2 linked regions of the Schizosaccharomyces pombe genome follow. The protein of the gene in region 1 interacts with the protein of each later gene in a biochemical or structural test. Each region holds a gene or a part of one and is shown on either strand. Other genes may lie near its edges. The genes, in order: its3 and opy1.

Region 1 (3,929 bases):
GATCGATTGGTTCCTGCTCTAGAAAATGAAAGGCCATCTAGAATACATCAAACATCATCTGTTAGCAAACTTATATTAAACGATGAATAGAAAAACAAAGATTGTCTTCTATTCGTTGATTTGGTCCTTACCCAACGGCAAATGCCTGCCTTTGCACAGCTGTATAATTTCAAAGCTTCATTGTTTAGAGTTTCTTTATTAAGTAAAAGTTCATTAGTGTATTTAACAAGGCCATCTTCCCTCATACAATTTTGGCGTTCCAGTTCTATATTCTCTAGCCTCTCTAAAGCATTGCTAATAAGAGAATATTCCCAAAGAATTTGTTGACTATCCGGCTGAGTTTGGGTAATCGGAAGGTTTTGAAATGAAGAAGGGTCAAGCGAAAGATTGAAGCAATACTCAATGAATGCGATATCCATGAATATCGGCATTTTTTCATGACACATTGATTTCGAATAACCCAAATATCGTAAGCAGGCTAATTGGTTAATGATTTTCAAGATTGGCTTTCATACCGTTCACAATGGAAGATTCTTCTCTCTGCATATCATAATGATTTTCCTTGATGAAAAACGTTTCTAGTGTATTCAGCACAGATTGTGAACGAATCTTCTCATTCATTTTATGGAAAAAACTAATCTATACACGAAGGATAAAAGTATAAAAAGTTGGTAAAGTCAATGTAAGTTGGTCTACGAGATAAAATGAATACCATTCCGTAAGAGAAAATAAATCATTTAATAAAGAAATCTAAAAACGAATGGATCGAATAGCTTTGTCTACTGTTATGTTTCTTGGAACATCGTACAGAAGACGAATTTAACTCCTTAAAGAAGTGTATTTTGTTTAATGTTATAAATTATTCCCTTAAACAGTGAACTGCTTTATCCAAAAAAGCGGTAAGCAAAATTTCCAAATGAAAAAAGTATTTGAATGGAAGATCGACTTTGGCGTGACAAAAGAATAAATTTTACTCTCCATTTTAAGTCCTTCATTTTCATAACGCTATGCCAATTACCTTGGATCACGGTGGTGTTTGTGCCTTAAGACATGAAAAGCTTACGAAATAAACATGCTTTAGGCGATTGATCATTTCTTCCAAGATATTTTTCCTTATTCAATCTCAAAAATTACTCTAATTTGTTATTTGCTAGAACTAAATGATCCATCTGATTGAATGTTTTTACTACCCAAGCCTCTTAAGATTCTATCCGAAGTTCTTTATTTACTTGTGCACAAAACCCGAAGGAATGGGAAAAGCAATTATCTATCTAGTAAGACAAAAAACATTAGATACTGTCCTTTGATTATAATTTCAATGGATTCTTAAAGTTGAATATTCAGTGCTAGCTTCTTTATATTATAGACATTCAAAGTAAACTTGAGAACGAAGAAAAGGAATATTGGATATTTCCTTTTTCTTTTTGTTAAATATATATATATATATATATTTTTGGAAAATAAAAATAAATTGATATGTTTGAAATAAACGAAGTATACGTTATGTGTATCTTACTTTAATTTTTTTTAACTTTATTTTATTATTTATTTTTTTTTTAAGGAAATTTCAAATCTTTAGATTTTCAAAATAGCTCAATCATTTGCTGTACTTATCCATGCAAGCTTAATCATTATAAATTGATTAATAGAGGTTCTAAAAAGTAAGCCTTTATAAAATTGGATTTACAGCATCCAGCTCTTCACGCAACACACCCATATCGATGCTTTTGTTTACGTTGAGCAGATTCGTTTTGTTTACATTCAACGAAATCGACGTTGTCAACGACTTCAAACATCGCAAGCTTATGGACTATTCGCAATAATGGAACTGGGTTTCAGAAGTTTTTGGCTTGGTAAATTCGGGATTGCTCCTTTCCCATACAGAAAGCGATAATTTTATCCATTTACTGCCATTAGTGCGAATTATTGGAGAATGTGCCGGACAATTCGGTGAACTCCGGTGACTTTATATATCTAGGGAAGAAACTGGTAGAAACAACACTTCGCTGGTATCAAGTGTTTTGCGGTGAAAGAGTTGATAAAAAAGAGAATTAAGCTGCTCTTTTCGGTAAATTAAAACATTTTGAATAACTTGGGAAAAAACTTGCTTTTGTAGGAACTGAAAAACGACGAAATTGACGTCTTCAAATTGTTTGTTAAAAAACGGAATCAAAAATTGTGTTTGGAGTCCATTGGCGAGTAAATTTTTAACTCTTCATATATGTTTGTAGGAAACACTAATGAAAATTGATTCAAACGGCATAGTGAATCCGCATTCTATAACGAACGAAATCCCTTCGTATGATGAAAAGCAGGCTGTCGATTTGAATGGGAATGCTTTTGCTCCAAATGGTACGTTTCAAAAAAAGGATTTGATATCCCATAAAAACGATTTCGAACGTACGATGCGCCACGATGTTCTTCATACCAACCCCAAAATCGAAGTTCGGTCGGAGACCCATATTTATGAACCTAACGATTCATTATTTAAGGAAAATCAAGATTTCCCCTCAAATCCCACTGCCCACTCTCCTTCTTCCTCTTCTAACGATTCGGTAATTACGGCTACTGGCGTACCTGATGGTATCTTGAGAGATTCTCCCATCGTAAGTGCCCTCGAGCCTCCTTCCTCCAATTCTTCCTCTTCTCCCCAATTACAAAATTTAAAGCATCAATTATCCTCTCCTCAACCTTCTCGCGCCCCCATAGATCGCTCTTCCTCCAACCCTGTAACCTCATCTCAGCAGCCACCTAATGATCGTTCCACGCTCAGCTCCTCGCAGAAGGCGAAGCGGCCGCTAAAGCGATCTTACTCCGAAAAAAATTCTAGCAACGCTGAACCTTCTGGCTCGAGATCCGGCGACCGAGGTACCAACGTCAGTACCTCGGGTTCTCTTTTGGATGGCATTCCCCCCGATATTGGCTCTGCTAGCTGGGCTGAAGCAGTCAAACAAAAACGTGTTAACATGCGCCGTCGCAGGGAAGAACTGGACGATGAGTGCGTTCTCGTTGGAACTAGAGTTTCAGAGGGCCATGAAAACTATGTTACAGCGTACAACATGCTTACTGGAATTCGCGTCGGTGTTTCTCGTTGCCAAGCGAAAATGGACCGTGAGCTTACTCCTGCTGATTTTACTGCTCGTCACAAGTTTACCTTTGACATTACTGGCAACGAACTCACTCCCTCCGCCAAGTATGATTTTAAGTTCAAAGATTATGCACCTTGGGTATTTAGACATCTAAGGCAGCTGTTTCATTTAGATGCTGCAGATTATCTTGTATCTCTTACCAGTAAGTACATTTTGTCTGAGTTAGATTCTCCTGGGAAAAGTGGTTCTTTTTTTTATTTTTCTCGTGACTATCGATTCATTATTAAAACAATCCATCACTCTGAGCACAAATTTTTGCGTGAAATTCTTTATGATTACTACGAACACGTCAAGAATAATCCGAACACATTGATTTCGCAATTTTATGGGTTGCATAGGGTAAAATTACCCTTTGGCCGAAAAATCCATTTTGTTGTAATGAACAACCTTTTCCCACCTCATCGTGATATCCACCAAACTTTTGATCTCAAAGGATCCACCCTAGGAAGGGAACTCGACGAAAATCAACCTTGTCAAAGTCCCATGTGTACAATGAAAGATACAAATTGGATTCGCAGAAATATGCATCTTCAGTTTGGTCCTTTAAAGCGTCAGATATTCTTAACTCAGGTCAAAGCCGATATTGATATGCTGTCCTCTTTAGGAATTATGGATTACAGTTTACTTGTCGGCATCCATGACCTTTCACGTGGTAATCGTGACAAAATTCGTAATAGCATTCTGTCAGTTTACGACCCAAATGTGTCGCAACATCGAGTGCCCTCGATTAATGGCAATGAATCTCACTCAAACGTTCATGTAATCAGACAAGTCGTTAAT
Region 2 (3,929 bases), on another chromosome or scaffold:
GCCGAAATTGAGACTCGCCAGGTCTACGGTATTAGCTTACAACAGCATCGCAACCATGCCAAGATTGACTTCAGCCTTTTTGAGAAAGTTGTTAGTAAGAACAAGGATTTACCCAAATCTGCTCTTATTGATTTGGTTATTGCTACCACTGCTCTTAAGTATACTCAAAGTAACTCTGTTTGCTATGCTAAGAATGGTATGGTTGTTGGACTTGGTGCTGGTCAACAATCCCGCATTCATTGCAACCGTTTGGCCGGTGATAAGGCTGATAACTGGTGGCTTCGTCATCACCCTAAAGTCTTGGGTATGCAATTTAAGAAGTCTGCTAAGCGTCCTGAGAAATCTAACGCTATTGACTTGTACGTCCTTGATGCCGTTCCTGCTGAAGGTAGTGAACGTGAGCAATGGGAGTCTGCATTCGAGACTATTCCCGAGCCTCTTACTAAAAAGGAGCGGGAGGAATTTTTGGCTACTTGCAAGGATGTTGTCTGTGCCAGTGATGCCTTCTTCCCCTTCCCTGACAACATCTATCGTCTTGCCCAAAGCGGTGTCAAATATGTTGCTGCACCTGGCGGTAGTGTCATGGATCAAGCTGTTCGCGACACTGCTAATGAGTTCAACATGGTCTTTTCCGAGATCCCCTTGCGTTTGTTCCACCATTAATCTTGTTTGTATACCTAATTTTTGACCACTATTACTATGGATATAATTTTTTTTGTTCTGTATATTTGATAGGTTTCCTCAGTTTATACCATCATTTAATAGAGGTATTACAATAAAGACTTCAACGTCTTTTACTTTTTTTGATTTAATATAAAAAAATTTGGCATCTTTTTTGTATCCTGAATTTTGAAAAGATTTCCGATACTCAAGGCATTTTATTTCAGTAATAGTAGGGAAAATATTTTTTATTGTTTAACACGAATGCAACAATTTTATTCGAAAGCTTGGAAATTCACAGCATAACGGGCTCAATAAAGCATTTTTGGTTGCTAAGCTAACATATGAAGTAGAAAGGAAAACGCCATCAAACCTGCTTTTTGGATGTGAGCTTCGCAGTAAACTGACTGAGTTAAACATGTTCTTGGGTGTTTGCAAATTTCTATTAAATTGATTGAGCGTATGTTTTTGCTGCAGTTGATTTGAAGCATAAAAAATCCGGTCAGGGAGGGACTCGAACCCTCGACCTCACGATTAACAGTCGTGCGCAATAACCAACTATGCTACCCGACCTTAGTTACTCACGAGCAAAATTAGTACTATTTAATGGTATTAAAAAGGATTTAATGACTTTAAAATTGTTTTTTTTTTAACCCCATTCTTGCTTGATATATTTCCCATCTTAAAGGGTTACATACTCTTATTCTTTTATCTTTCATTCGATTGTGATTGATTTACCATATCAATAATCATCTTACAAGACCGGAAACTATCAACTATCTGGACGTAAAGTGAAGCATAAAGAAGATGGCATAGAGGACGGAAGGGAATTTTTATTATTATTCCAAGAAACCATGCTAAAATCACGTTTAAACCCTACTCCCTACTAACTCAGTATCTACTGAGTAGCTTTCATAGGTCTCGAACCGAATGGGAAAGACCAACGCTTTCTACATTAGAGAAAGTGGTTCTCTAAAAAATATTTAAAAAAGTATTTCTTTCTTGTTGCTTTTCTTTTTGTTACAGCGAACAAGTGCTCCCTTTAAATAGCTTTTTTGTTTTCATCCTGCCAGTCCTTACAACAATCCCTTACCACTGTGCACCAATACAACCTAAAGTTGAATTTCTGTAACAGTAGGATTTACAAAAGTTCTTTTGATTCTTAATTAGTATACGAGATGTAGCACTTCTACACGATTACTGTGTCCATGTACTATATGGTTGTATGCCTCTCAAAATAAAGATGACATATTTTCAGACTACCTTTTTCAAAAAGAAGGCTTCTCAATTCTACTGCTACAATTTATTCGTACTATCATTTCTATTATTGAAATTTCTCTACCATACATTTTAATTTCACTTGACAAATAGCGATACGTTAATGAACGCTATTACTGAATATGTACGTCGCTGGTACCACTAACACGTATGCGTTAGGAAACGTGATTTTAACCAAAATCTGTATAGAGGACGACTTTACATCGTTCTAGTTTAACACCTTTCAGTTTAAGGAATTTTCTTGATGTATTCAAAAGAAAGAAGGCGTTTATTAGTTTGACTATTCGCTTGATGAAATGGACCCAGGAGTTTCATCGCATCTCAGAACTGCTAGCCTTGATGAAGCAAGAAGGCTTCCAGAGCTTGAGCGTGTTTTAAAATCCGGATGGTTGATAAAGAAAGGACATGCAACTTCTGTATGTATTCATTAACTTAGTTGTCTGAGTAATATTTACGATACGTTTGAGTGGAAAGGGATTTGGAGTATTCTTTAATTTTGTGAAGTGTACTTAGAAGTGAATGATACGTACTCTTAATTCTTTATTGTTCGCTTTTGATTTGGGGATATGATGATGCAAACAGCACCCTACAAGCACTTTGACCAATTGATTTTCAGAATATTCCAATTATTTGCTTCCCGTTTCAGAGTCAATATTTGCACTCATGGTTTTTTTTGTAGTGGATGCTAACAACCTAGACTAAAAAGCAATTATGGGCTGTTCTTCGCAGAGATCAGTTATCTTTTTACAAAGACGAAAAGGTTTGTGAATAAAATGTGCAAATTTCAACGACGCGCTAACAGTCTTCAAGGAGTACAAAACCAAATTTATTTTCCCTACTCAGGATATTTCAGCTGTTGCCTACTACAAAGAAAAATCACCAAAAAGTACGTTAGAATTTTTGATGTTTATATCTAATGTTTAGCTTTTTTCCTGTATTTAAATGAAAAGATAATTCGTCTCATTGCCACTTCAAATGAGGATGCTGAGGAATGGGTTCATGTTCTAAGATCCACAACGGGTTATAGGGCACCGTTTTCAAGACATCCTATCAGTTATATCCTTGCGAACTCTTCATCTCGAACCGAAAGCGAGCCTAACGTTCAGATCTCTGATACTGACTTCGACAATATTTCGACTGAACCTCGTAATCAAACGACTTCTCCTTTAGACTTGGAAACTGGTCAGGGTGACCATTTCTGTACTTCACTTTATGATTTGATACAGTTTGGAAAGTTGAGACCACCAGGTATCAATGAAGAAAATGCAAATTACCCCTTCAACCCACAAGAAGTTAATACGCTGAATAAGCACAGGCATTCGGCTTCCTTACAAAATCTCTATAAACTCTTGGATGAAAATAAAGTTCTTATGCAAGGAACCATTCACTGGCTACATGGAAATTTACATAGGTGGTCCAAGTGTTGGGCTGTTGTTCGTGGATATGGTATGACTATTTACAACACGAACCGAGAGTACAAACCTGTTAAAGTGATACCGATAGCCGACATTCAGGATGTTGCTGAAATAAACGTTCCGGAAAGCTCACACAAATACTTTTTTACCGTAATTACGCAAAACAAACCTATCGAATTTCGCGTTGATAACGAAGATTCACTTATACTCTGGGTTGCTGCACTTAAGACTTCTATTGACAAGGCCAATGGTACTTTTACTGCTTGTTAAAAATGGCTTTTCCATCAAAATATTTGGTGCATAATACGATTCCTCAGCTACTTTTCTAGCTACCTTCTTGTGATTTCCTTTCATAAGACTCCCCTTACCCTTCGTGTACATACGTGTTGATCCGTTCTGTTTCTATATGTTTTGACTATCTCGTTGTTTTTTTTTTGTCTAATAATATTTCCGATAATGTCCGAAAATCGACACAGCTAGTTACAAAAGTGTCTTTCTTGCTCTAATTTAATGATTTTTTTCCTTCGTCATGAGCCAGTTTGTAGTACCATCGTTCGCTCCACTAAACAAACCTTT

The links.
Region 2: the proteins of its3 (region 1) and opy1 form a complex in vitro, tested with the Schizosaccharomyces pombe proteins (one study listed by BioGRID).

The regions. Positions count from the first base shown.
Region 1 is NC_003424.3:4,070,136-4,074,064, forward strand, and holds the start of its3 (1-phosphatidylinositol-4-phosphate 5-kinase Its3), read left to right. Parts: upstream 1-2,000; 5' UTR 2,001-2,240; coding exon 2,241-3,929. Other genes in the region: protein Poz1, read right to left, coding at 1-37, 132-478, 516-621. UniProt on the Schizosaccharomyces pombe protein: Catalyzes the phosphorylation of phosphatidylinositol 4-phosphate on the fifth hydroxyl of the myo-inositol ring, to form phosphatidylinositol 4,5-bisphosphate. Involved, together with the calcineurin ppb1, in cytokinesis.
Region 2 is NC_003421.2:944,566-948,494, reverse strand, and holds the start of opy1 (protein opy1), read left to right. Parts: upstream 1-2,110; 5' UTR 2,111-2,234; coding exon 2,235-2,354; exon of another isoform or gene 2,355-2,635; coding exon 2,636-2,698; exon of another isoform or gene 2,699-2,748; coding exon 2,749-2,824; exon of another isoform or gene 2,825-2,862; coding exon 2,863-3,623; 3' UTR 3,624-3,929. Other genes in the region: ade10 (bifunctional IMP cyclohydrolase/phosphoribosylaminoimidazolecarboxamideformyltransferase), read left to right, coding at 1-663. UniProt on the Schizosaccharomyces pombe protein: Binds phosphatidylinositol 4,5-bisphosphate (PtdIns(4,5)P2/PIP2) at the cell membrane.